Linked DNA regions of Canis lupus familiaris. The protein of the gene in region 1 interacts with the protein of each later gene in a pairwise test. Links are inferred from orthologs where the notes say so. Each region holds a gene or a part of one and is shown on either strand. Other genes may lie near its edges. The genes, in order: MYO5B, AMOTL2, BNIP2 and RAB25.

The links.
Region 2: the proteins of MYO5B (region 1) and AMOTL2 interact in binary tests that used the Homo sapiens proteins (3 or more experiments, as listed by UniProt). The two-hybrid records come from large-scale screens. The link is inferred for Canis lupus familiaris from reciprocal best matches to the Homo sapiens genes MYO5B and AMOTL2.
Region 3: the proteins of MYO5B (region 1) and BNIP2 interact in binary tests that used the Homo sapiens proteins (3 or more experiments, as listed by UniProt). The two-hybrid records come from large-scale screens. The link is inferred for Canis lupus familiaris from reciprocal best matches to the Homo sapiens genes MYO5B and BNIP2.
Region 4: the proteins of MYO5B (region 1) and RAB25 interact in binary tests that used the Homo sapiens proteins (3 or more experiments, as listed by UniProt). The link is inferred for Canis lupus familiaris from reciprocal best matches to the Homo sapiens genes MYO5B and RAB25.

What each region holds. Positions count from the first base shown.
Region 1 is NC_049228.1:78,760,458-78,767,636, forward strand, and holds the start of MYO5B (unconventional myosin-Vb), read left to right. Parts: upstream 1-3,318; 5' UTR 3,319-3,555; coding exon 3,556-3,582; intron 3,583-4,582; exon of another isoform or gene 4,583-4,799; intron 4,800-7,179. UniProt on the Homo sapiens protein: May be involved in vesicular trafficking via its association with the CART complex. The CART complex is necessary for efficient transferrin receptor recycling but not for EGFR degradation.
Region 2 is NC_049244.1:31,676,214-31,682,864, forward strand, and holds part of AMOTL2 (angiomotin-like protein 2), read right to left. Parts: intron 5,373-6,651; 5' UTR 5,312-5,372; coding exon 4,578-5,311; intron 1,918-4,577; coding exon 1,611-1,917; intron 620-1,610; coding exon 475-619; intron 148-474; coding exon 55-147; intron 1-54. UniProt on the Homo sapiens protein: Regulates the translocation of phosphorylated SRC to peripheral cell-matrix adhesion sites. Required for proper architecture of actin filaments.
Region 3 is NC_049251.1:24,905,859-24,913,137, reverse strand, and holds the start of BNIP2 (BCL2/adenovirus E1B 19 kDa protein-interacting protein 2), read left to right. Parts: upstream 1-2,304; 5' UTR 2,305-2,503; intron 2,504-7,279.
Region 4 is NC_049228.1:41,739,528-41,746,826, reverse strand, and holds the start of RAB25 (ras-related protein Rab-25), read left to right. Parts: upstream 1-2,749; 5' UTR 2,750-3,008; coding exon 3,009-3,051; intron 3,052-5,704; coding exon 5,705-5,900; intron 5,901-7,086; coding exon 7,087-7,280; intron 7,281-7,299. Other genes in the region: ragulator complex protein LAMTOR2, read left to right, coding at 325-414, 639-709. UniProt on the Homo sapiens protein: The small GTPases Rab are key regulators of intracellular membrane trafficking, from the formation of transport vesicles to their fusion with membranes.

The DNA.
Region 1 (7,179 bases):
CAATCCAAGTGCCAGCTGGGACCATGATCTTCAAGTCCAAGCAAGGAATCCACTTCCACACTCCTTTACCTGCGGGGGAGAGTTCCATGTGAACAAACCTTGCTGCACGAACTGGTACGTATTAAACATGAAGACTCATGGTCCGCACGTAGACCAGCTGAATTAGCTCTGCCTGGGACCCCAGAATCTTGATATACATTAACATTAAAGAACCACTGGCATAAAAGCAAGTGCTTAGGCTTGAGAATGAGAGTGTAGTTGAAGGCCTGCTTGCTGATCTAGAATGTTCCCTCCACCAGCCTCACCTTCCTCATCTGTGAAATAGATTTATGATTCCAACCTTCTCTATAGGGTTCTCTAGGGCTCAGACAAGATCACAGAAGGAAAGCAGTTGGCAAGTTTCCAGGGACAAAGTAAGTTTTAAGAGGTCTTTATTACTATTCAAAGGAGGGAAAGACCATATCTGGTTGTGAGATTAGAAATTCACAAAGCCCTGGCCAGGAGTAGGATTCTCCTCAGGGAGGTGATTCAATTCAGTCAGCATGAATTGAGCTTTTAATCTGTGCCAGGGAGGATGGAAGCTAGAAAGTTGGAGGCAGTTGGGGGTGGGGAGGAAAGATGCAAACAAATTAGTTTCAGGTTAATGCTAGGTCCTAATGGGATGGCCAGTGTTGTCATTCTGGCAGGTGGAAAGATGCGTCTGTAGTAAGGTTAGAACTAGATTTGGGGCACCTGGGTGGCTCAGCAGTTGAGCGTCTGCCTTTGGCCCAAGGCATGACCTTGGGGTCCTGGGATCGAGTCCCTCATTGGGCTCCCTGCAAGGAGCCTGCTTCTGTCCTCTGCCTGTATCTCTCATGAATAGAAATAAAAAAATTAGATTTGAGAGTTACCAGTGTGGTGAGAGGTATAATGGGGGGGGAGGGTGGCGTGAAGAGAAGAGATTTGGGAAATGAGCCCAAATTTTGGACCATAGTTTGGAGAACTAGCAAGCAGGGTTAGAAAAGGATGTCATGAAGGTGTGGTTAGAAAGGCTGGGAAAACAAGAGGAGAAAAAATGAGAGATTTTAAGAAGGAGATGGTTTAACCTGAGAAAGGAGAGTCATGTACTGCCCCATGTTTTTTTTTTATTACAATGAGACTATTTTAGTAATATTTAATAAATATAATGTATTTTAAGGCAAAATAAACAGAAACCATCCAAGTATAATGTCAAGTGTTGCACAACATTATTTAGAAGGAGCCATCAGACAGATAATAATTACGCTATCCTATGTCTCTTGATATTTCCCTGAGAGCCCACGGTCGTCAGGAACCATGATGCTCAAATCGTACAGTCTCCAGGCTTTTTTTTTTAAATTTATTTTTTATTGGTGTTCAATTTACCAACATACAGAATAACATGCCCCATGCTTTAGAGGGAGAAGGCAATCTCAATAGGATAGGAGTGAGTGGAACCATTTAGGAAGGAACTAATGCAGCAATTCTTAACCTTGGCTGTCATTAGAACTACCTGGGAGCTCTTAAAAATCCTTTTACCCAGGCAGGAACCCCAGAAAGTTAAATCAGAATTTCTGGGAGTGGGCGCCAGGCATCATTTGTTTTTGCAAAGGTGTAGAAAGTGTTGAGAACCCGTAATTATGTTGGACTGGGTTTAAGCAGAGCCAGCTGGGACAAGCGCCTACCTTAAGAAATGTAGCAGGAAAGGAGAACAAAGCTGCTAGTAGAGACCAGCCCACTGATGGAGCATGATGGTGAGGCATAAAAGGTCCAGAGCAGAGGTGGGGAAGGAGCTTTATTTAGCAAAGGGGTTTCTTAACCCCAAAGGGGGAGAATCCCTTAGAAAGGTGTGAAAACTGAGTGCTGGCTCCACCCCCAGGCTTTCAGATTCAGTAAGTCTGACCCCTGACAATTTATAGCTCTGACCCAGCTAATGCCAATAGCCTGGGGGGGGGGGTGTCACACTTGGAGATCTTCTTGAACACAGGGAAGGAAACTATGCTGACAGATTTCTGAGTGAGAGATAAGTGGTGGAGCCATTTCTTCCCTGCTTCTGTCTGGGATGTGAAGAAATCCAAGGAGGGTTCTCCAAGCTTTGATCACCGCACTTGTCAACCTTGGAAGTACAATCTTCTAGGATTATGGGGGAGCTTGAAAACTCCCTCTGTTCGCCAGACATACGTCCTGAAGGTGGGGTTCTTTGGCGGGATCTGGTAAAGTTCCCTAGGAGAGTCTCCTTGAGGAGGCACAGCTGTGAGGGCCTGACAGGCCAATTAAGCAGGGGTCCTGATTCCAGCTGGAAGGGCTTACCTGGGAAGAGTTTCAGAAGCATGTGGCTCCAGAACAATTTCTGCATCGACCGGATGCGCGCTCCAGCTGAGAAGCACCCGCAGGCTGTTCCTCATTCAGGTACAGACGCCTCCTTCAGACCCACCCAGGGCCGTTCTGCCCCGGCGCTACCTGCGTTTCCTCCGTCAACTCCCGCCGGCTACTTTCGTTTTTGGGTCAGGTTTCTTTTTTGCTGTAGGTAGAAGAGGGACTGAAGCTGCTGCAGGCAGCCACAGGCCATTGGGAAGGGGACCGAAAGGAGGTAGAAAATGGCAAGGGGATGGAGAGCGTGCACACGAGAGAGAAGGAGACGCGAATGACCATCTTCTGATGGGGGGGGAGGGCGGGTAGGAGTCTAGTTGGACGTCGAGGGTCAAACAGGCAAAAATAGGGAGGGAAGCTACGAATCCCACTTGCCCAGTCAGGACGTCCGCCAGGGAGTCGGTGTGGCGGAGACCCCGTGGGCATAGCCAGGTCACCTGTTACAACATCCCGTGACAGCGGAGTGTTAACCCTGAGACTGTTGAGCGCAGCCACGTGAAGTCCAGAGAATAACGTGCGGAGGCTTTCGGCCGGACTTCTATCCCCTACTTCCCCTCCTCCTCCCCTCGCCCTGCTGCTACCTGGGCTCTTTCCCGTCTCCACTGCCCACCTCCGCCCCCTCCGGCCCCAGCCCGCGATCGCCCGGAGGAGCCGGCGGAGCCTGCGGAGCGCGGCAGGTGCCTCCCCGGCGCGCACCTGTACCCGGCGGCCAGCAGGGGGCGGTCTGCCCCGGCTCCTCGCCCGGCCCCGCCCCCGGCCCCGCGGACCCCGCTGCAGCGGGGGCGCGGGAGGGCGCGTCCGGCCCGGCCCCGCAGGGCTCAAAGGCGGCGGCCGCAGCGCACCGGCTGCCCGCTCCGCGCGCGGTGCTCGGCCCTGCCTCCCGGCGCCCGCACCTCCTCCCCCACCTCCTCCCCCACCTGAGCGGGGAGCGCCCCCGCCCGCCAGTCCTGCCCGGCCGCCGCCGCGGGAGTAAAGGTCGCGCCGGCCGGGAGCGAGCCGGCGGGGCAGGGCGTGGGGGAGGCGGCCACACGCCGGGAAAGTGTCGGCCGCCCGGGAAGATGGCGCCAGGCGGGCTGGCCGCGGACTGAGCCTGCGGGCGGAGAGGAGTCGGGACCCGCAGCCCGGCAGGGGCGCGAGCGAGGGCCGCACGCAGACTCGCTGCCCGGGCTCGGGCCGGCGCGCGGGGCCATGGCGGTGGGCGAGCTGTACAGCCAGGTGAGTGCGCGCCGCGCGCCAGGTGAGGGCGGGGACCAGCGCGGCGCGCCCCGGCCCCCGGCCCCCCCCCGCGGCCCTCGGGGCGCCCCCTCCTGCGGTTCCGGGAGGCGGGGGGCGCCTGGCAGCCTCCCGCTCGCTCCCCCCCGGCGCCCAGAACTTCGGGAGGAGGAGGAGGAAGTTTGGCCGCTCCGGGAGCGTCCTGCGCCGGCCGACCGGCCGCGGCTCCCCGCGGCGCTGCCCCCCGCCTGGCTCTGCTGAGTTCCCCGGTCCCGGACTGGGGTCCCCGGCGGCGCGGAGCCGGGCCGCGGACACAGCCCCACTGCCGCCCCCCGACCCCGCCCCCCGCCCCGGACCCTGCTCTGCAGCGGCCGCTCGCGAGGGCGCGCCCCCAGGCTCCCTTCGCTCCCGCGCGCCGGCGGGGGCAGCACGAACTTCGGGGACGCTCGCACACTTGGGGGCGGGGGGAGAAGGGGACCGACCGGCTGTTAGGGACTTGATGGGGCGGGGGGGGGGGGAGATGAGCAACAGGTGAGGTGGGAAGTGCTCCGAGGACCTGCGGAGACCCCGGGGAAGCGCATTCTTAGTTGGCTGGGGGTGGGCGGCTGAAGGCGGCCCCTCGGCGTGGGTGCCAGCAAGGGCAGGGGCGGAGTGCGGACTTCTGGGTGCCAGGGTCAGCCGGGCTCTGCAGGGCTCGGCCCCACGGTCGGGAACAGGTGCGCCTGGCTGGAGACGTCCTGCTTCCGCGGCGGTTGTTTCAAGTTAGGGGCCAGCCGCCGCCTCCCGGAGCGCCCACGGCTGAGCCGCGGGGGGCCGCGCCTTTAAGCACGCGCCCTTCCCCCGGTCAGGAAGTTCGGGAGACCTGCCCGCCCGGTCTGTTTCCGGACCGCGCCCCGAGGGACCGCGCCCCGAGCGTCGGTGCGCGTGCGGGGCGGGTGCGGGGCGCGGGGTCCGCGCGCGGCCCGCGGGTCTGGGCGGGGGCGGGGCTGGCTCCGCCTCTCACCTGGCGGCTGCGCGCGTGGGGAGCTCCGCAGCGGGGTGGGCCGCTCGCCCCGCGGGGCGGACTTTCTCCCGGCTCCTGCGGAAGAGCGAGCTGAGCCGGGATGACGCGGAGGCTGTGGCCTGGCTGGGGATGGGGTAGCTACAGCCTCGGCGCCCGCGTCCTGGCCCCGGTTGCGGAGGGGCCGCAGCTTCTGGAAAGGAGGGAGGAGGGAGCCAGGAGCGGGGAAGGGGGCGGGGTGGGCGGGGTTGGCGAGCGGCTCCGGGAGTCGGGCTTTGAAAAGCGCCCCGCCCGCTTCAGCCTGTGGGTCTTGGCAGCGGCCCCCAGGACTCGGGCTCTTCACCGGCGGTAGCAGGTTGTCAGGCCCTCGGACCGGAGCCTGGTTCCGGCGAGGCCGGGGGTGGGGCGGGGGGTGGGGCAGGGGGCTCGGGGGACCTGACCTGGGCTTGGATGGTAGAGCCTCGCAGTTCTGTTCAACCCCGGGCTGCACCGGGCCCCGGCGACCGTGCCTGCGATGCGGCGAGGCCTTTCATCAGATAACTGCTGTACTACGGGAAGCTGATAGTCAATCGGATAAATCTGCAACTCTTGAAGCCTTGATCTTGAAAAACATTGGATTGCTTTTAAAGACCATACTTTCGGGCAGCCCGGGTGGCTTAGCGCCGCCTTCCGCCCGGGGCGTGACCCTGGAGACCCGGGATGAGTCCCACGTCGGGCTCCCTGCATGGGGCCTGCTTCTCCCTCTGCCTGTGTCTCTGGCGTGCGCTCTCGCTCTCCCTTTCTCTCTCTCTCTCTTTCTTATGAATAAAAAAATCTTTAAAGACCACGCTTTCAGGGGAAAACACTTGATGTTCTTGTTGGAAACGAGTATGTTGCCAGTTATAAATGAGCGTATGGTATGTTAACTGTTAGAAATGAATCCTAGTGGGGATCCCTGGGTGGCGCAGCGGCTTGGCGCCTGCCTTTGGCCCAGGGCGCGATCCTGGAGACCCGGGATTGAATCCCACTTCGGGCTCCCGGTGCATGGAGCCTGCTTCTCCCTCTGCCCACCCCCCACCTCTCTCTGTGTGACTATCATAAACAAAAACAAACAAAAAAGGAATCCTACTGGAAGTCTGCGCCCAAGTTCGGGGGTAACTTTCTGGGCTTTTACTAAGGATATAGCTACCCTAAGAAAAATGTCTCAAGGACACATGAGTCACCTAACGTGGTTTCGTGGGTGTGAGGGTTTGACACCACTCAAAGTATTAGAACGTGTTCCTAGGGCTGGGGGACTTCACCTGTCCATGTTGGTGGGTTTCTAGTCCTTAATCACTGTATGTTTATGAATCTGAAATTGAGACTTTTTGTGACCCAGCCAGTAGCTTCCAGATTGAATTTTGAGCAATTGTTCTTGTCAGAGTTAAACATGCTTTGCTATGAGAAGCAGTTGTATTGTTTTCCAACCATTATCACCCTACTTGCTAGGCTGGATTCTCTGTATGCATATGAATAATAAAGTACATAGAGAAATTGTGCCTGCTGCTCAGATTCATTTTCTTAGGGGGATGATTTGTTCATCTTGGCATATTAAAGCAACCAATGTTCCCCCTTTTAACCTGCTAGGCCGGTCTATCATGGTGACTGCTGGACCCAGGCACGCACTGTCATGTATTATGCATGATAGAAATAATTATCCATTATGTCAACAGCATTTATAAGTGGGGTGGAACTATTAAAGCCTTTTAGAACTATACCTGTTGCTTTAGTGATCTAGTAGGGAGGTATGATTGGAAGGAGACCTTCAAGCGCATAAATTAACCTGAAGGTACAGTTTCAGGTAAGAACTTAGTATATTAGCCTAATCCTATTTATCCAAGACAAGACTCCCTTTCTTTCCCTCCCAGGTTACTGTTTTCTTGTTTGCCTATCTGCACACTCCAACTGGAGGCTCCATGCTATGTGAATTATTATTTTTGGAGTCCTTAGTCCTTGACAAAAGTCACATCCCATTACCTAAGAACACACCTGTGTTCAGAAGACCCAACCCATCACCTTTGAGAAGTGGCTTTCTCTGTAGCGAGTCTTTTCTGGATGGGGGAAAAAAAAAAGTCCATGCCAAGACACTTTGAGGGTGATGTCAAGGTGAGTCAGCTTCAACTCCTAAAGAAAGCTGGAGCTGATGATGGGGGATCATGTCACAAGTGGCATGTATGTAGCAAGTATTCATACTGTCTTTTCCTGTGGGTTGGAAACATGGGCTCATTGGATTTGTCCAGGTCCCAGGCGTGTACAAGCATGGGAAGTACAATTGGATCTTGATATTGCAGGAAATAGTCTATTTTTCATCCAGAATAACCCTTCTATGAACCTTGTTGTTTTGGACCAGTCTTTCAGGATGCTGTCTTGACTTTTAGTCAGGTTGACTGGGAAATCACCAGATAAACCAGTACCTTCCAATAACCCCTTCTCTGGTTGGCCTTTCATAAGTGGTGTCTGAGCAGTTTGAGTGCTGCTAGTTCACTGGTGGATCCAGCCTATGCGTGTAAATGGTGGCTTTGTCTTGGTCTTTCCCTGTGCAGCTGGTAGTGCGGGTTTGTGCCAGGTGTCAGCCTGTAGGC
Region 2 (6,651 bases), on another chromosome or scaffold:
CCAGTGTCACCACCCACATAACTGTATGGGCATCTGAGCGTGAGCCCTACTCACTCTGAGCAAGCAGCTTGGCCACCATGTCCTGACTGCCTGCCTGGGCCTCCTGTGTCTTGCTTGCCAAGCGGCGGTTCGCAGATTCCAATCTCTCTGTTTAAATGAAGGAAAAATGTTTTAAGAAAAAATATTTGAGTATCAGGTGCCCGCCTGTGGGGTTGCACCGTCTAAACCGGGGATGGGCTGATAGGGAAGCCCTGGGTGTGCTCAGGGCCTAAGGAGGAGGGAGCACTCTGGGCCACAAAGGTGAGGAGGTCCCATGGGTGGCCCCAAGGGGTAGCACAGAGACAAGCATGCCCCCTGTCAAGGCGGCCCCCAAGGAGTTTCAGCCTGGCCCCCTTTGAGTCAATTTACACAACTTCTCTTTTCAAGCCTTCCGCAGGTGCTCACCACCCCCTCACCTCGGGCGACCTCTCTCACCTCTCAGATCCCTGTTGAAGTCCTGCAGCCTCCTCATTTCACTATCCATTTTGTTCCTCATGGTCTTTTCCAGGGCCTCCCGCTTGGAAGAGGCTCTCATTAGGCTCTCGTGGGCCTCAGAGAGCCGCTGGATTTCACCTTCCAGCTGCAAGAAGCAGACAGGAGAGCTGAAGGAAGGGGAGAGATCCCTGTGTGGCCTCAGGGTCCCCTCCACAGGCCCAGGCTGCTCTCTGACTCTCCATCAGAAAGGATGAGAGAGGACAGGATAAAAGGCAACAGCAAAAAATCCAAGTGGTTAGAGTGGGACGGTCAGAAGCTTGTGGCCTCCAGATTTGAATCAGATGCTAGAACCAGCAAGCAGGGGTCCCCTCAATTGTGCCAGGGCCCCAGTGCTGAGTGAACCCAGGGCCAGGTACCCTGGAAGGGGCTGCCTCTGACTGACCAAGCATAGCTTTCCCGCACCCAATGTCCAGAAAGCAGCATTTTACTTTTGTCCAGTTTCTACTGAGAATCTGAGCACTGTGGGCCAGGAGTGGGCACAAAAAGACTCCAGCCACGTTCTAGGGGCCAGAAGAGCTCAAACCACAGGACAGCCATAGGAGGCCCGAGGCCACCTGTCAGAACTGAACGCACAGCTGGCAAACCTCCTCTAAAGAACAGGGTGCTGGCCCCTGGGCTGAGCTGCCTCCTCTCTGGAGCGTTTCCTCCTCTGGCCATCCCCGTGTACCGCAGAGGGCCAGCCTGGCCCCAGCTGCCCCTCCCACTTGGCTGCTGGCAGGTTCCGCACGTGCTCCGAGCTGGCCTGTGATTCCAATAAGTAGCTCGTTTTTTCCAAGAGGAGGGGCTTTCTTTCTGGCCAGGGCTGGCCCAGAACAGACTTGCTGTTGTGTGCGGGACACAAAGGGCTCTCTGTGGGAGGTGTCCACAGGAGGGGGTGTGTGCAGGGGAAGGGTGTGCAGCGAGCTGGTGAATGGGCTCTTTCTAATCACCACTGGCCAGCAACTGCTCACACTCCAGGCCTGCTCTGCTGGCCTTGAGGCTGCTCCCCAGCTGTCTAGAGTCAGTGAGGGAGGGAGGAGAAAGGATATGGGGGTAGAGAGCAGGCCCCCGCCCTCTGAGGCCCCAGCAGGGCCTACCTTCTCGATGCGGCCAGCCTTCTCCGCTGAGCTCTCCAGCTCCCTCTGCAGCCTCTCATTGTCCCTCTGAAGCCTGGCATTCTCCCTCAGCAGAGTCTCCATCTGGGCCAGGTGGGCACTGCCAGAGGGGGCCGAGGAGGTCTGGGTGCTAGCCGGCCCCTCCACCTCAGGTGGGCTGAGGGCGCCTAGGGGGCCATGGCTAAGAACAGCTGGGTGTGGTGGCAGGGGGTGCTCCTGGGGCTGCTGTAAGTACTGGTACTGCTGTTGCTGCTGGAGAAACACAGGGGGCACTTGGGCCTGCAGGATCCTGGGGAACAGAAGAGATGGTGCTCAGAGACTATGCAGGCCCTTGTGGCTCCCACCCCTGAGCAGCCTTGGGTGGGCCCAGCCCTCCTGGCATACTGGCAAGTCTCCACACAACAGGAGGCAGTGTCCAGTGGGGAAGGCTCTATCCGAGACCCTGAAGGGCCAAGGGAGTGGGGCTAGTGGGGGTTAACATCAGGATGCTTGTTTCATGTCCAGCCTCACTGTGGCCAAGGCCTTGGGGATCAGCCTGAGTAGTCCTGGACCTTGTACACAGCCTTCCAGGACTCTGGGCCACTTCCTGCGTCTGTTATAAGCCTCTTCTGCTAGTATTTGCCAGTGTAGCACACTCACATTTTCTACTCCCTATTTTGGGTCTCGTCACCCGTTGCAGAAACATTTTTGTGAATCCCCGTGGCTCAGGGCAGAGTGTAGATAGATATTGGCATAAGGGTCTGAGCTCCAAAGTCTGACAAAATAGGAATTCAAATCCCCATGGTGCAGGCTCTGCTAAATCATGAGGATGAGTGTTTCCAGCCTCGAGGGGCTGGCCAGGCCTACACAGGGCCTGATGGGATGCTGGGCCTACAGCGCGTGCTCCCACAATGGTGGTCCATCTTCTACCTCTCCTAGTGGTAACTGCAACATACTGTCTGCTTAAAGAGTAAACGTGGCCCACACACTGGATTTTCTTAGGTGTAGGGGCCACCTCTGGACCACTGCAATAGCCTGAGTGGAGGGACAATGTTCCACTGGCCTCTAGCAGTGCTGTAATGTCACCCTCAGCCCCATTAAGGGAAGGAGCAAAGAGCAAGAGGCATGGGTGTCAAGGCTGGTCACACGGCCTTTCCGGGGTCTTGTGACTCCAAGTGTGAAAGAACAAACTGCCTCAGTTACGCCAGGAGCTTTCCAGAAGCTTCATGAGAGTTGAATTCCACTTGTAGGTCCATCACCTCAGCATTCAGGCCCTCCATCCCCCTCACAGCCTCCTCTCCCCTGCTCCCCTTAGGACCCTGGGCTAAAAGAAAAGTCTCGCCCCAAGTTCCCAATGAACAATCCTTGTGTGACCAGCTGAAAGGAAAGGCTGGGCAGATCTATTTGTCTTATTGCCTAAGGCAGAGCTTCCAGTGAGGGCTGAGCAGAGGGTCCCCACTGGAATGTGCAAGCTCTCGGTGCACTGCTAAATGTGGCATTCTCAGGGTTGCTTCACGAACTTTCTCCCCCCTGCACCGGGCCAGGCAGACACAACTGGCATTCTTGGGGGATGACTTAGCTCTGAGAAAGAATAGAGTCTCCTTTCCTTTCACACTTGCTCTCCCTTCCCTGTCCTGCTCCTCCCCCGCCCTCCCTGTTTTGTTCTCCTGTGGTCTACTTCCTTTCCACGATATTATCTTTTCCTGACAGGGTTCAATAAGGCTGCTCCAAAAGAAGAAACCCGCGACTCAGCTTCCGAAACTCTCCCTGACCAAGCCCTGAGAGAGGAGATAAGGTGGGGGGCACGAGCGGTGGAGGATGGAGAAAACCCACAAGGCCCCGTCCTCTGGTTCCCCCATGCCAACACCATGGCGTCACTCATTTCTCGAGAGCAAGGAAAGGCATCTATCCCAGGAAAAGGCCAAATGGTGGGAAAGCGGGTGACTAAATGAAGACTCAGCAAGCATGAAGAGGACCAGACTTCGGCCTTGAGCTTCCAAGGAAAGGAGTCTGCAACTCCGCAGGCCCCTCTGGTGGGGTTTCCTGGGCCAGCCCGGGGGGAGGTGCGGTGTGTGAAATGATCGGTGTCCCTGCTTCTCGGAAGGGGCCGGGCCGAGTGAGAAGCCAGGGGCAGAGCCTCATTTCTAGGAACCAGTATTTCTGCAAACTATCCGGGGTTTCTGTCCCCTCCTTGCACCCTTTGCCCTTAGAATCCATTCTCTCTACGTGCTTCCCGGGGGGACCTTTTTAAAGAGGTGAGCCAAATCCCATCCTCTAAAGGCTTCCCTTCACATTCAGGTTCAAAGTCCACATTCCCCAGCAGCCCTTTCCAAGGCTCCACAGAAAGGGGCTTGCCAGGACCCCAAGTCCTCTCCTGCTAGGAGCTCCAGCCACCTGGAGCACAGGGAAAACGTGAAAGGAAACGCAGAGTAGTAGGAGGGTGGCTCCTGCCCTGGTGTAGGCCAGGGAGAGGTCTCGGAGGAGGCCATCTGGTCCTTCCTGCCTCCAGTTAGGAATGCCTCCCACTCATCACAGAAGGCAGACTGTCCCGTTGGTCTTAAAGGTCTCCAGAGAAGGAGGTCCCATGTCCTGCCAACTCAGCTTGGAAACCGTTTGGCAAGGATTCCCAACCCTTGTCTTTAGCAAGTTCTTTCGAAAACCTAACCTTTAACCCCCTGCTGTAAGCGGTACCCCCGGGAACCCTAGTTACTTGACTGCTACAGCTAAGCACACAATGGCATCCATCTCCAAATTAAAGCAAAAGGTCCCACTAAGTTCTCACGTGACCCTGGCTAAGTCCTCCTCTACATCAGGCCTGAGCCCCTCCCTCTCGGGACAGGGAGGGGGTCTCAACAGCCTTCCTCTGGGGCCTGCCAGCCCCGACACAGGGTGTCTGCAGGCTCTCCACCCCAGGGGAGAACGATACCAGAAGGAAAGTCAAGAGCTTGAAAGAGCAGGGCGGGCAGTTACCTGACTTCAGCATGCTGGAAGTGTGGGCTCCCGCGGGTGCGGTACCGCGGGTCGGTGACAGCAGTGGCGGTCTCGTGAGCTAGCACAACGTGTGGGTACTGAGGCGGCGGTCCGCGGGGCTCTGGGCCCTCGGCAGGTGGGCCCCTGGGTGCGGGGCCCTGCTGATTGCGGGCCAGCTGCGGGAAGCTGTGGGAGGAGCTCATGTGGCTGGGGGCCCGGGCCCCGTTCCTCTCCAGGGACAGCTGCAGGAGCCGTTCACTCAGGGAGCGCACATGCCCGTGCCTCAGCTCTCGCAGGGCCTCATCCTGGCTCCGATGGCCTCCTGGGGCCCCTCGGGGATCCCGGTCCCCCACATGTGGCCGGGGCCCCGCCTGCTGAGCCGCATAGTACTGGGAGTGGGCTTTAGCCTCTTCGTAGGTGGGCAGCTCCTCACCCTTGCCGGGCTGTGGACACAGCCGGTAGAGGGTGTTCTCTGCCAGGTGGCTCTCACCGCCCTGGTGCTCCTGGCCCTGGGGTTCCTGCCTGGTGGCTTGCTGCAGCACCTGAGTGTCCTCAGGTGCCAAGATCTCTGCAGAGGCTTGGGGGCTCCCTGTGCCCCCAGCCCCAGCCCCACCCCGCAGGGCCTGCTGTTGGATGGCCAGCAGCGTGCGAGTCTCCGTCAGGTTGCCATAGCGCAGCTGCTCCTGGATGAGGCGGTGCAGGACCGTCCCGGAGGAGTCTTCTAGCGTCCTCATGCTTCCTTGCCTTGTACACAGCTGCCTGGACAATGGCCGGTGGCACCTGGCCCCAGGGCACCTGGGAGGAGGGAAAGAAGAGCAATTAGTGGGAGCACAGGGGAAAGAGGGCAGGGGGTGCTTTCCGTTACAGTGTGGTCCAAAGCATAATGGTGAAGAGTAAGGCTATGGGGGCGGGGGGGGGGGAGGTCACACAAGCCTGGGTTCAATTGCCAGTGCTGCCACCTACTGATTAAGGCAAATGACCTAACCCGTGAGCCTCAGTTATTCCATCGGAATAACGCTTGCCTCATGGAGGTGAAAATTAAATAAGGCGATGGCTGCTGAGTGCTGGTGCACTGTAAATCCTTGGCAGAGGGCCACCGTTACAGTCATATTCACGGAGACTTACTAAAGAAAGCCACCAGTAACCTCCAAGGTAATCCATCACCCAGCCTCTGCAGTCAGCTTCCCAGTGAAAAGGCTGAGGAGAGACTCCAGGGCAGGAGTAGTTCAGCTACAACCACTGAGCAGGCCAGTCTAGGGGTAGACAGGGCCCCAGTTCATTGGCAGGTGATAAAGAAGGAGTCCAGCCTAGTAGAAGCCCTAGGCAGACAGCCCCTAGCTCCCTCTAGAATGTAGCATGCCTGAGCCCTAGGCTTGGCACGGGTAACTCACCACCCTCTACCACCTTTACCATGCTGGGCCCTCTCTGTCACGGGATGACCTTGACGGTCACTCTGCAAGGTGAACAGGAAGGACAAAAATGCATCGGGTTTGGCAAATAATAAGGGATCAAAGGAGAAGCTACAACAGGACGATGGTTTTGTGAAATGAGGTGAAAAAGATGCCACCCGTCAAGGTTTGTGGGTCAGTCATAGTCTGTGTGCTGACAGCAACTGCATGGGTGCTCCAGGAAAAACAAAGGGCGGCACCGTGTCTTTGACTTTAGGACTGTCCCTCCTACACACGTACACTTGCTACTTGGAAAAGACCCCGATGGCCCTCTGCCACATAGAGGGTGGGCACTCAGCATTTTGCCATCGGTAACACTTATCTGAGCTAACTGGAGGAGTAGGGGAGCGAGGGAGAAGCTCTTGGTTGCAGGGACCGGAGTCTGGGGCGGGGGTGGGCTGCTGGAAGCTTCAAGAGCAGGGAGTATCTCCTGAGGAAGGTATTGCCCTCTGAGCTTGGGCTCTCAGTGGCTCATGTCCCGAGGCTGCCTGCCTCACCCAGCTTCCTTCCACAGCCTCCTCCCACACAAAACTCCTAACTAGATTCAGGGAAAACCAAACAAAACCCCTATCCCCACAGGTCTTATGTATGGGGGGAGGTCAGTGGGAAGAATGTGGTCCCTTCTC
Region 3 (7,279 bases), on another chromosome or scaffold:
TAATGTGAATGAATTAATACACATACTAAAATATATACTCAAAAGAGGGGTGCCTCTTTCAAAGTGGTTCTCTCAGAACTTATACTAATAATGCTGTTATTGTGAGGAACATAATAATTGGTTGCTTTTCCATGTTGTTCATCATATTGGCTCTGAATAAACCCTTAGCACTAAAAAAAAAAGCTCCCCCTTTTATCTGGCTCCAGTCATGAAGAAAAAGGGGCAGTTTCTTGAAGTCTCTGCACATTTGCATAAGCCATTCCCTCAGTTTGGAAGATCCTCCTTTTATTACTAAGCTCGAGATGACCCCCTTCCGAAAGTCTTCCTTGACTGGCCCCAACTCCCACCCCTCCCCCGCCATCTGTTTAGCTCCTATTTAGCTGCACTTTGGAAGTACCAACGTCACCTCAATTCACCAAATTGTTTTGCTCCATTTCTTTGCAGGCTCCATGCCGGGAGCCCGACACGGGACTCAATCCCAGGACTCCAGGATTGCGCCCTGGGCCAAAGGCAGGTGTCAAACCGCTGAGCCACCCAGGGATCCCTAGATGATATGTTCTAAAGCCACACTTTTTTTCTTCTAAATTATTTTCCAATTTTAATATTCCAAGTATCTGCCTATTCAAGGAGACACATAGATTATAACCTGAGCCCAAGACAGATGCTCAACCGCTGAGCCACCCAGGCATCCCGAAAACTGTGTTTTTATTATACTTTTTTCAGGCTAACAATTTGACCCATGGCTTACAGGCATTTCACCTAAAAGCTGAAAAAATATATATTGAGCATATTATTTGAAAATATACCTAGTGTGTTGTTTGAAAAATCAGTTAGTCTTATGTCTTGAACTTTTTTGGACATTCTATAAAGTGTGGTTTTCAACCATTAAAAAAATGGAGCAACTAAATTTGTTCAATAAAGAATTGTTAATACAAATTTATCCATAATAAAAATGATGGCATTGAGGAGTTCAGTATGTATTTTTATTTTTTATATTTTATTTAATTTTATCTTGTCTTATTTTATTTATTTTAAGTAGGCTCCCCAGCATACAGCCCAATGCAGGACTTGAATTCATGACCCTGAGATCAAGACCTGACTACTAGGTACTTATTTCATTTTTATAGAAACATATGTGCTATTTATATAGTTATATATATACAAAAATCTGAAAGGATATACCTAAATGTATACCTTCTCTATAGTTTCCAATGTTTCAACAATAAGTATAGCTAATTCATGAGATGAGGATAAGAAGATAAATTGTAGAATGGACTATTCAAAACCAAAGCAAACACCGACCAAACTAACTGAACAATCAAGTCATAGAAATGAAAAAGAAAGATGGCAAAAAAAAAAAAAAAAAAACAAAAAAAAAACAAAAAACCCAACCCCACATAACTGTATATAATTTCAAATGACTTGCTGCCACCTTGTGAGGAATGCTCCTCATTGCAGGACTGAAAAAAGCAAAATAGGAAACTACGGGGGGGGAAAAAAAATCTGAAACTTAAGATAAAATCGCTGACGTAAGCACGATCCAAGAAATTGTTCAGCTAAGGCTCTGCTTATCAGCTGATCCGTCTTGTTTGCTCCGCCAGCTAACTTCACAAAACTGCTTGGAGGAAAATATTATCAAACACGTATATGATGATAGTATGTCGTCGTATGTCTAATAAACAGCACTTTATCTCACAAAAGCCCTAGGAAGTAGGTATTATTTTTCCCTGTTTTCAGAGATGAGACAGAACGGGTGCATGTTGCCAAAACCCCGTAAACCTGGGAGCCGCATTTCGGGTCAGTGATGGACATTTTTCGGTCGCCCCCAAGCTCCCTCTTCCCATTCCCAAATGCACCGTCCCATCGGCGGACGCCTGCGCCCTCGTGGGGACTTGGCGGATGCGGATCTGAGGCCCCTCTGCACACCTGCGCCGCTGCGCCAGGTGCGATGGGTCCGCAGAGCTGGGCCCTTCCGCCACCTGTGCACGGCCGGACGGGAACAGAAACAGCGTCTGGAAGGCGTGACGGTGATCTTACAGCACCTTTATGGCGATTCTTCCTCCCCTACTTTCACCCATTCTATGCTATAAAATTATTCTAAGGATCAATAAAGCCCACAGAAGGGATGTAGAAACGTCCCTTTGAGAGTCGAGGACCGGGTCTCAGCGGGAGGAGAGGAGGCGCGGCCAGCCCGGGCGGAATGCGCATGCGTCAGTCCGCGCGGCCGAGGGGGCGGGGCAAGGGCCAAAGACGCCCCGCCTCCGTCTCCGCCGGCCCCCGCGCCCGAAGGAGGTCGGGATTCCGTCACTTCCGCCCCGGCGGCTGTCTGCGTCCGGGTCAGCTGCTGTCGCTGCGGCTGTAGCCAGGGCACTGGGCCCGGGTCTCCGCTGCAGTCCGAGGGGAGCGGGCTCCTCTCGGCGCTCCCTCCTGCGCCCTGGCCGTCAGCCCCACGTCGCCGGCCTGGAGGGGCGAGGAAGACGAGGGGGCCAAGGCTTCCTCCGGGGTGAGTGCGGCCCGGGAAGGCTGGGCACGGCGGGGCTGGGCTGAGAGCAGGCCTGCGGCGGACGTCTGAGGGGTGCGTGCCCCCCGGACAGCCCGAGAGGGGAGGCGCGGAGGGCTGCGGATGGAGGGGGCCGCCGGGGAGCTTGCCCGGGACGCGCTTCCCGGATCCCCGCCCAGCTTAGGCCCCCGCCCTTGGCTCGGCTCCTGTTTGCCTTAGCTAGGCTTACCCGCCACCCGGCCACCCCTTTTCCGTTTGTGCTGTTGTGTTCGGGGCGGGACTTGCCCCCCCTCCCCCGCTGGGCCCCCCTGCACACCCCCTGGTCTGGGTGCGGTGACCGGGCCGCTTCGGTCGCGTATTTAAGACCAGCGTCAGTCCCGGTGCAGAACAAAGAAACTCGGACGTCTGCTGTGCCCAGTACCCTCGGGGAATAGACGCGGAAGCGGCCCTTGGTAATGAGGGCTTTAGAGGGCCTTCCTACGTATAAAAGCCCAGTTCCTGCGTGGATTCAGACATCAGCTTTTGCTTAATGGTTTGCGTTTCCTGGGCGTCTCTCATGCAGCTGGAAATCTCCTAGATCAACTCCAGTTAAATCAGGAATCTGTTCGGATCTGTTAACGTTGCTTTGAAACTTCCCTCGTCTGCCAGTTGGCGGGAGCCCTCGGAGAGCACAGCTTTTGCCCAGTTCCTCCTGGTTGACATAGTGCCTGCCTTAGAGTTTAGTTGAGTGAAGTGTGTGATTGCACTTTACAGTTGCCTTTTTTTTTCCCCCTCCTCCTCACCTTTTTAAATTAGGATCTCTATTTATCTTAGTGCCTAGTTACGTTTTCAGCGAAACATATTCCTTCTCTAAAATTTTATAAGAATTTCTGCAACTTGTAAATGGATAACTTCAGTTACCCCGTTTAGTTAGCTTGTATACTATCATCTTGATGATCTTTGGACACCTTTTACTTAGTTCTCGTCATTTTACATTTCTTCTAGACTATTCTTATTTTCATAATCTCCTCTATTGCCGCCTCACATTGTTGGGCTAATACAGGAAGTATGACAGGTCCACTTCTGCAAACATGGATCTTGAGCTAGGTGGTCATTAGTCAGTGCTGTTGTAGTCTTTAAGCATTAGAGGACCTTTGAAGTTAAATGTAACCAAGTCTGGCATTACAGGCTTATGCTGTATAAAGTTGCCAGTGAACTGGAGACAGTGTGCTGTATTAGAAACAGGCTGCATTTAATCTGGGACCCAAAATGTAGGGTCATTTGCCTCATATGTAAACTAAAACGGGGATAAATAACACCCATATTTCGTACCTCACAAAAGTTGTTGATTGGAACATACCAGATGATGAATGTACAAGTGGTTAGTAAATGCCAAAAGGAAAGTGGTTCTTTTCTTTGCCTTTGGAGTAACGCCAGTAGGAGCTGTGATGGAGGAAGGCATCTAAAACAAGGAAGGCCAGACAGAGCTGGCAGAGGGAGAAGCAGGCTCCCTGCGGGGAGCCTGATGCAGGACTCGATCCTGGGACTCTGGGATCACACCCTGAGCCCAAGGCTAATGCTCAACCACTGAGCTACCCAGGCGCCCCTGTAATACAGTATTATTAACTATAATCAACACGACACGCTATACATTACATCCTTAGGATTTATTTTATAACTGGAAGTTTGACCCCCTTCACCCATTCCTCCAACCCCTCTTCCGTCTGGCATCCACCAGTCTGTTCTTTACATCTTTGAACTTGGTGTGTGTGTGTGTGTGTGTGTGTGTGTGTGTTTTAAGATTCCACAAGTAAGTGAGACCTTATAGTATTTGTCTTTCTCTAACTTACTTTACATAGCATAATGCCCCCAAGGTCTATCCATGTTGTCCCAACTGGCAAGATTTCATTCTTTTTATGGTTGAATAATATTCCATTGTATATGGATACCACAGTTTTTTTTTTAAGATTTTATTTATTTATTCATGAGAGACACAGAGAGAGAGAGAGAGAGAGAGAGAGAGGCAGAGAGGCAGAGGGAAAAGCAGGCTCCATGCAGGGAGCCCGATGTGGGACTCGATCCCGGGTCTCCAGGATCAGGCCCTGGGCTGAAGGTGGTGCTAAACCACTGAACCACCCGGGCTGCCCTGTATACCACAATTTTTTAATCTATTCATTTATCGGTGGAAACAGGTTGCCTCCATATCTTGGCGATTGTAAATAATGCTGCTATGAACATGGGGCTGCATATACCTTATTGAGATAATGATTTTGTTTCCTTCAGATAAATACCCAAAATTGCTGGATCAAATGGTAGTTCCTTTTAATTTTTCGGGGAACCTCCATACTGTTTTCCATAGTGGCTTTACCAACTTACATGCCTATCAACAGTGCACAGGGACTCCTTTTTCTGCACATCCTTGCCAACACTTGCTATTTCTTGTCTATTCAAGAACGGCCATTCTGACAGGTGTAAGGTGACATCTCACTGTCATTTCGGTCTTAGAAACTTGTATGACCCTGCTTTCAAGGAAGCAGTGACAAGCGTATAAGATTTTTCTGGAGGTGTTTTGGTGATCTTTGTAAACATAAATATAGACTGGTCTAAAGTATTTTCCAGTAACACTACCAGTGCTGCCAGCCTCCTAGGGAAAAGTGAACACAAATACTTAGAATGAAGCCCTTCTGTTTAAATGCAGAAGTAAAAGACTTGCCTGGACATTTCCTTCTGCCAACTATAATTGATTTCAGCATAGATGGTAGTTACTAGCACCTATTCTAGCAGCACTGTTAAACTACATAATAGTAAAGTGGCATGTAAGATTATAATTTATAATTCAGACAGTTGTAAATGTGATTTTAATATTTAATTTTTGCTTATATTGCTGAGTTTATAGGGAAATCCCCTTCTTTATCTTGGTTGAATTTACTGCCACACCTCCCTTCCAGAAGTTGTCTCAGGAGGTAATCCATTCTCCTTGATTTTTAACCTCACTGATGTCAGCCGGTGTTTTGAATTTATCTGTATGCCTTCTGCTGGTAACTGGCATAAGCAATCATGTGCTCCCGGTACCACCAGTATGTTGAGAAATCTAGTTATTCTTGTTGCATTTGGTTATTTTAACAAATAGCATCTTAAAGTGTAATTTCCTCCATTCTAATTTACCAAATCTATGAACAAAAAATGGGAAACAGCCACAGTTAACTTGTGAGTCAGTGGTGTCCTGATTTCCTTCAAAGTGGTTGTGCTTATATTGCTCCTTTCTTGTTTGTTTCCTGTTCTTACAGCTGCTGATGATTAAGTGCTTCCAAGAACAATACTCTCTCAGTTGTTTGAACTTTTTGTCTACCTAGTGTACTTTTCTCTCTACAATTTATGGTGAAATAGGCAAGATTGAGTCTGTCTGCTGTCTCCTGCTGGTTCTGTTTAGCTTAAATAATTATCCCCAAACTAAATATCCATGTCCATGTGCTGTATTAACATGACATGCTTCAATATGATTTTGAAATAAAAATTGAATGAATTGGCTGAAACACTTGAGTTATTTTCAAGTGATAAACTTCTTCAAGTAGTAGGGGAGCTAAAAGACATCATTTGTCTTATAGAATTTCACAAGTTACATATTTCTCTTAGAAATAAGGAATAAGGGCAGCCCCGGTGGCGCAGCGGTTTAGCACCACCTGCAGCTCAGGGTGTGATCCTGGAGACCCGGGTTGGAGTCCCATATCAGGTTCCCTGCATGGAGCCTGCTTCTCCCTCTGCCTGTGTCTCTGCCTCTCTCTCTCTCTCTCTCTCTCTGTGTCTCTATGAATAAATAAATAAAGTCTTTAAAAAAAAAAAGAAATAAGGAATAATTTTACCAACAGAAATTGATAATTGCATGTATGTGGGTTGCCCTAAATATTTTCATTACACTTTTTGAGAGTAAAACAACAGGAAGCCTATTAATGTAGTTTAATAAGAAAAATAAGCCTAAGAGGTAGAGCAAAACAATGGCTTGCTATCCAGTGTCGTACCTTATAATAGTCTTACTTGTAACTAACATTTACAGGCTTATGTGCCATGCACTGTGCTAGGTGTTGGGAATATAGTGATAGCAACTTTCAGTCTCTGCTTTTATTTATGAGATATTAAATATTTTTCTAAGTATGTGGGATATTTGAAAAAGGCAACAAGAACATCCTGATATTTTTCCAACACATACAAAAAGGTAAAACAAAATAATGGAAACTTTTTCTGATTATTGAATTTCGGAAGTATATTCGCTTTTAAGTGATTACACAAGACTTCAGAAAAAAATTGAGTACAGTGAATTAAAAACTTCTGAAAGAGATAGTTTTAAACCTTTAGTGATAGTGTTTCAGTCTCACTTGAGAATTAATTTCTAAGTTAATAGGCATTAAGTATTTGGGCTTTATGGCCATAATCTTTTGGTCTTTTATACTAGTTCTGTGTTCTAAATAGAAGAGATTGGTAAGATAGGTATCCTTTTTTTATTTTCTTCTTTACAGAGAAAGTTACCATCAGAGAACAATCTATAAAGTGATCATTGAAGACCTGTGTTAAGATGTAGTCTATGTATGTATTAGAAACAGAGAATGTGGTAAAGAACTCAAGATTGCTATATTTTAGGTGTGTTTTCCATTAATTTCTCAACATTGCCTGGCTCAGTGTTTTCCCAGAGAAGTAAAAATGACTTACATATGCAAATACTGAGTTTTCCAAACAAATATGTTGGTGAAGAAAAGAGCATTTGCCATTTTTTTCTGTGCTTCACAGTGGGTCCTTGAAAATTTAAAA
Region 4 (7,299 bases), about 37 Mb from region 1:
ACAGCCCTTTGCAGTTGTGAAACTCTCTCCTGTGTACTAGCACCCTCATCAACTGGGAAGAGGTAGGGATCACAGAAAGAGAAACCAAGTGTCCGGGGGATTGAGTGTTCCAGGGGAAAGCTGGTTAGTTAGACGCTGTGCTGATGCTGGAGTCTGAGCTCAGGACCCCACGTCCAGGGCTGTGGCCAGAGCCCCTCCTCTGAAGTTCCTGCCATGCCCAGGGCATGGAAGGAAGAAGGTAGTCTCTCTGAAGAGGACCTCTTGGGGAAAGAGGGCTAAGGGTGCCAAGCAGGACATCATATCCCACAATGTCACCCCCACCAGGAGGGCCGCGTTGCCATCACCCGGGTGGCCAACCTTCTGCTGTGTATGTACGCCAAGGAGACAGTGGGCTTCGGAATGCTCAAGGCCAAGGTGCGTAGGTGCCCGATCCTCGACAACCGTGGGCCTAGCCTTTGTGCTGTTGGCTGCCCGCTCCCACCTCACCACAGTCCTGGAGTCCTCTCATGACCGTCACTGGCTGTGGACTGACCCTAGGAGTGGGTGGGAGCGGGGTGCTCAGCCAGGAGTGGGTCTGCATTGGGGGTCCCTCTAGTGGCAGGCCGCGTACGGTCCTGATTTCTCTTCCCCTCTTGCAGGCCCAGGCCCTGGTGCAATACCTGGAGGAGCCTCTTACCCAAGTAGCAGCATCGTAATGATCCTTGTTTGAAGCTGGGGTCAAAAAGATAAATGAACATTTACAGGGGCAGGGCCCCCTTGGGAACCTTTCTGGGTTGGGGGGTACTTTGTTTTTTCCAAGAATAAACTGTAACTCCTATCTTATGTGGTGACTGCTCTTTTTTAAAAATAGACTTATTTTACTTACTTACTTTTTTTTTTAAGATTTCATTTATTCATGAGAGACACAGGTTGAAGGAGAAGCAGGCTCCTTGTGGGGAGCCCAATGCAAGACTCGATCCCAGGACCCTGAATTCACAACCTGAGCCAAAGGCGGACACTCAAACACTGAGCTGCCCAGGCGTCCCTATTTTACTTACTTCTTCTTCTTTTTTTTTTTTTTTTTTTTTTTAAAGATTTTATTTATTTATTCATGAGAGACACACACACGGAGAGAGAGGCTGAGACACAGGCAGAGGGAGAAGCAGGCTCCACGCAAGGAGCCTGATGTGGGACTTGATCCTGGGTCCCCAGGATCACACCCTGGGCTGCAGGCGGCGCTAAACCGCTGCGCCACCGGGGCTGCCCTTCTTCTTCTTTTTTTTTAAAGATTTTATTTATTTATTCATGAAACACACAGATAGAGAGGCAGAGACACACAGACAGAGGAGAAGCAGGCCCCACTCAGGAAGCCCGATGTGGAACTCAATCCCGGGTCCCCAGGATCATGCCCTGGGCCAAAGGCAGGCGCCTAACCGCTGAGCCACCCAGGGATCCCCTATTTTACTTACTTCTTAAAAAGAGTTTATATATTGGAGGGAGAGAGAGAGAGAGAGAGCGCGTGCGAGCAGAGGAAAGGGCAGAGGGAAGAGGGAGAAGCAGACTCCCCCACTGAGCAGGGAACCTGATGCAGGGCACTATCCCAAGACCCAAGTCGTGACCTGAGCTGAAGGCAGACTGAGCCACCCAGGAGCCCCTGATGACTATCTTCTTGAACGGGAGGAGCCCAGGGAGGTGGCAGGGAGCAAGGGTTGCTCAGGAGAGTCCTGAAGGCCCACCTCTTCCCTTGCCCTCTGATGGCCACGTCATTTCAGTGGTAGTGCCTCAGCGCCCTCGGCCTCTCAGCTATAGGAGCATCTGGGCCCTGCCACTGTGAGCAAGTGTTTGCCCACCTGAATGGCACACCTTTGGGAGTGATTGCAGAGGAGCTGGGACCGGTGGGGGACTGGTTGGGGGTTGTATTGGGCAGAGAAAAAGGGCCCTGCAAGTCTAGTGACCTTCAGCCCCAACCTGGGGAGATGCCTTTTCTGCTCTTGTGGGTGAGAGTGTGCACAGCTGTCTAGAGGGGCCACCCCCACTCACATAGACCCTCCAATCTTGAAGCCCTTTGCAGTCAATATGGCTCTGGAGACCTGGATGTTGGGGAGGGAGTATTAGGAGGCGTCCATCTCCAGATCCTGGCCTACACTCAGACTCCTCACCCCAACTGTCCATTTTTGCTCCAGGTTCCCCCTCCCCGGCATCCTTAGAGCAGGTCTGGACAGGGAGCTAGCAGCCCCTAGCCCAGTACCATAGGAAGGGACCCATCCCAGGGGAGAGGTGGGTTTCGAGTTTCTCCTCCACCCAGGGTGAGGAACACTGCCCATCCCAGGCCCTGGGCTGTAGGGAGGGGCAGAACCATGACGTGGTTCCCAGAATTCTGCACTGTAGCAAGGGGATTGGCACCTGTCAGCCTCAGCCCCTCGCCCCAGCAGCCCTTCCCCTGGTGCCCCCAGTCACCCCCCCACCAGAGGCTCTGAAGGAAAAACAGGAGGCCAAGCAGGTTTCTGCTCCCTGACAGGCTGTTTCTCACTGGTGGCTGCTCAGGTAGGTCCCTGGTCCCAGGAGCCCTAGCACCATGCAGTTAGTCCAGAGCTGGCTCTCTGAAGGTCCTCCTGGGCCTGTCCCAGCTCCCCCCACCCCCGCTGTCATCCTTTCTGCCCCCCCTCCCTGTCCCAGCCCGCCAGGCCACCGTGGGAGCACCGGCTGAGAGCAGACACCCAACCTGCCTAACCTGTCTGACGTCATCCTCTCTCCACCCACCTGGGCCCCAGGTCTCTGCTGCCTGCTCTTCCTGTTCTCAGCTTCCGTTCTCTTGGCTTCCTTGCAGCACCCCCACCTGCCAGAGCTGAGCCTCCCAGGCCCTGCCTAGCCTCTAGTCGGCCCTCAAGCCCACAGACAGCCTGCGGAGGTTTCTTTACCCCCAATGAGTGGAGCAGCAGATCCGGGTCTCTGGAGAGCTGAGGGTTGAGGGCATTGAGACGTGTCTCCCCTGCCTCCGAAGCCACTTATACCCTCCATGCAGAGCCAGGATGGGGAACAGAACCGAGGAAGATTATAACTTTGTCTTCAAGGGTGAGTTGGGGTCTGTAAAGAGAGAGACTGACTGAGTCAGAGTGCCCCTCCTCTTTTTACCTGGTACCAGGACCCTCTCAGGGCTCCTCACTCCTTTGGAGTAGAAAGGAAGCTGCAGGGAGTGGGGGAGGGTCTGGTTACTGGGGCAAAAGTCCTGGAGCTGCTGCTTCGAATGCTTTGCTTCTGCAGATAATGCTGTTGATCAGTCCTGGGTGGGGCCAAGTTAGGCTCCTCTGCTCCATTCGCAAAGGAAGCCATGTCCCTAGGAACTGTTAACCACTGCAGCACAAGAGATTGAGGTCAGACTTCAGAGAGGACTTCCCTCCTGAGAAGAGGGGGCATAGCCTTGAAAGGAAGAAAGTCTTGTTTCTCAGTGGACATGCAGGAAAGAAGAGAAAGGAGAGCTCTGTCCCTTTTGCAGTGAGGACAGGGAAGATAGCTTAGATGGAGCACAGGATCTAATAGAACTTGGAGGACTCCGAAGATTAGGGCCTTGTCTGCTGTCCCTTGGCAGCCTCTTTGGGCCCAGATATTGGGCGCAGGGTCAACTTGACTGACACTGGAAGTATGCATGCATCTCTCCTGCTCCTTTCCCTCGGCCCTGCGTTGGACCCCAGTAGACCCCAGCCCCCAAGCACCCCCACCTCCACAGCTCCTTCTGGGTGGGGTGGACTGGCAGAGCTGTGAGTCCCCGTCCAGCCACCCCACCCCGCTGCCTCTCCTGGCCTAAGCCCCACCCTCACTGGGGCTAGAACTCAAGCCACTCCGGTTGGGGCACCTGTGCTCAGCCCTCCCTCCCAGGAAGGGGAAACTGGGGCTGTGCTGCTACTGGTGACTGCCCTTTCCTGAGTCATTAGTCACCAGAACAACCCCAAAGTGTATCTCTCGCTTTGCAAGCATTGTGGTCAGGAGCCAGACTCCCCGCTCCCATCCCAGCTCTGTCCACTATTAGTCGTGCAGGTTGGGGTCTCCAGAAGCAGACACTAAGTTTGGAACATAAGGAGTCTCATCTGGCTCAGCACCAGTGAAAGGAAGGGAGAGGAAATGGGGAGAAACCAAACTGCTGCACAGGGTCACAGAGCCTCAGCCAAGGGCAGTGCTGGAAGCAGGCCACCCTGAGAGGGACGGTCTCTGCCGAGGCAGCTCTGTGCACCAGGGCAGGGGCAGAGGGAGCTGGCGGCTAGAGTCTGGCTGCTGGTGGTGCTCCCGTGGCCACAGGCTCCACCTTCCTCAGCACAGATAGGGGCAGCACACTCTGTCTGAGGCCGGCTGCTACTCCCCCAAGTGCCTGCTTTTCCTCGGCTGTAAAAATGGGATGACCGTGACCGTGGTACGTGCCTCGTGGTGCTGTGCTGGGGGTTAAATGAGTCAGTTCGTGTAAGGCTTTCAGGATGGTGCCTGCACATAGTAGGTACTCAATCAACACCTACTGTCTCCCTTTTACTGACAGCAAGTGGCTGACAAATGGTCACTAAAAGTCAGTACTCAAACCCAAGTCTTAGCATATTTTGGGCCTGATGGCAGGGCTAGAAGCCCACCCACTGGCAGAGGTGAGGTGGGATGAAGTTCCCAGCGCGGGGAGGCAGGATGCACACCCACACCCACCTGCTCTCCATTCATTCCTGCCCTGCACAAGTTCCAGGGGGCTTTATAGATTTTACAAACAAGGAAACTGGAACCTTGAAAAGCTGAGCCACATGTTCAAGGTCACCAGCTAGTGAGAGACTGAGTGGGGACCAGAGCCTAGAACATGTGGCTCCCAGGGCACCAGCCTACTTTTCCAGAACCACCCTGGGAGTTGTCCTGTCATCCTGGACGTTCACTCAGCGTCATACAGCTTATTGGTTGTACTTGCATCAGCCCCCATTGCCCTGCTGCAGCCCCCAGCTCACCCGTGGTGAGGACAGCTGGGCCCTGGACGTTGCCCACCAGCCCAGAAGCTCTTTGAGTGCCCCTCTGGTGGATCCGGGTCCCTGGAAACCTGACAATGAAAGCACCAGCCTGCCCAGAGCAATCTTGATGGTGACAGTCTTCTACACTCACTACAGCCGGGGCAGTATCTCATTTACTTCTCAACAATCCGTGAAATAGTGTTGTTACTGCCATTTTTCATACGAAAAAGAATGTCAGGATAGGCCTGTCCGACACCCATCCCGTGTTCTTAACTGTGTGCCTCCTTGGGGACAACTGTATCCTAACTTCTTGCACACCCCCAGTGCTTCCCTCCCTCCCACGATGTGTCACCTGCCAAACGTGCTTCCCCCCCACGTTTGTGTTGGCACAGTGGCTTCCAGCACACGTGCCGAACCTTGAGGTCCTCCCAGCTCGCCACAAGCAGGCACAACAATGTCACACTGCCTAGTTGGGAAACGTGTGCCCTCCCCAGACCTCCTACATCCCTGTCCACTTCCATGCGCCCTGCCAACTTCATAGCCCCTGAATACTGGCACCCCACCACCGGAAATGCAGACTGACTGTAGCCACATCCCCACAGACCAGACCAAGAACCCTTCTAGGCCTGCAGCCCAAACTCTTGGCCCTTCACCTGGGAGGTCTGGAAATTTCTGGCTGGCTCCCCCCTCAGTTTCCTGGGCTCAGCTCCCTTTCCTGATGGGCAGACTCCGAGCTCAGCCCTGTGTCTCCACTCTTGCAGTGGTGCTGATCGGCGAGTCAGGCGTGGGGAAGACCAACCTGCTGTCCCGGTTCACACGCAACGAGTTCAGCCACGACAGCCGTACCACCATTGGGGTCGAGTTCTCTACCCGCACGGTCATGCTGGGCACGGCCGCCATTAAGGCTCAGATCTGGGACACAGCTGGCCTGGAGCGGTACCGAGCCATCACCTCCGCGTGAGCCTGGAGCCAGGGGGCGCTGGGGGGGATTAGGGGGTGTCCCTGGAGGAGAGGCCATGGGGCCATGGTCTCCCTGAGGGGATCCCAGGGCTCCATGGCCCCTGTGAGCCCCAGGTGCTGTAAACCACACAGGCTGAGGCAAGACCCAGTGATACCAACTGCTAGGGTGGAAAGCAGCAGCTGCTGGACCACTTCTTGAGCCTCTGCTACATGTCCTAGGAGGCACGAGGCACCTTCTAAGTGCCACGGGACCAAGATGCTGTAATTAATCCCTGCTTAATACAAAAACCTGGGGCTCAAGCAGTTGAAGTCAGGGAGGATTGTGGATAGGGTAGGTTGTGGGACCAAGAGGGCCCTCACTTCTGCTTTGTGCTCAGCATCCTTTGCCATTTCCCCATGAACCTGGTGGGGGCTGGACCCCTCAGCAGCATCTTACAAACACTCAGAGGGGACAGAGGACTTTCTGCCTCCTGATGGCCATGCAGAACAATTCCCAGGGAGCGTCAGGCCATGTGTGAGGATGGTGGTCTATGTGTGTGATTGGGGACAGCACCTGCTGAGGAACAGCAAGCAGGAGCCCAAGGCTTCAGTCAAACACACACTCATGGCTCCCAGACTGGTCACCAAGCGCTTCTGAGCCTCAGCTGACATGTTGCTAAAATGGGAAGAATGAGTTATCACAATGTGAAGGAGCCCCAAGTACCTCCGGGAGTGAGACTGGATGCTTGCAGGGACGTCTCAGATGGTCAGCTCAGGGACTGCCACATGGGGTGGACATTCAGCTAGTTCTAGGGAGATGGCCACAGGACAGAAGAGGGTACCATGGCACAGGAACCATGTGAGGATGAGCCCACCGAAGGTGTGCCCCTAGGGGGCTGTGTTAATTGGGGCTCAGGTGCGCATGGGTGGACAGGGAGGGCTAACTTCAGAGCAAAGCACCTAAGGGAGCCATGGCTAGAAAGGCAGGAGGGAGTCAGAGAAGGAGGGGGATGCTCTGAGTCTCCAGTACCAGTAGCCCTAGAGGGCTCAGCATCGGGCTCAGAGCCCTGAGTTGCCCTGACCCGATCTGGGTCCCTGGACCCCAGCGTTCATATCTCTCCATCCCTGGTGCTCATCTGTGATGTTTTGGCTCAAGGGCTCTTCTCTCACCTTGCCTCAGTCGCCCGCTCCACCCCAACCCCAGGTACTACCGTGGTGCGGTGGGTGCCCTGCTGGTTTTTGACCTAACGAAGCACCAGACCTACGCCGTGGTGGAGCGCTGGCTGAAGGAGCTATACGACCATGCTGAGGCCACTATCGTTGTCATGCTCGTGGGCAACAAGAGTGACCTCCACCAGGCCCGGGAGGTGCCCACTGAAGAGGCCCGGATGTTTGCAGGTGAGAGCCCCCCCCCAGT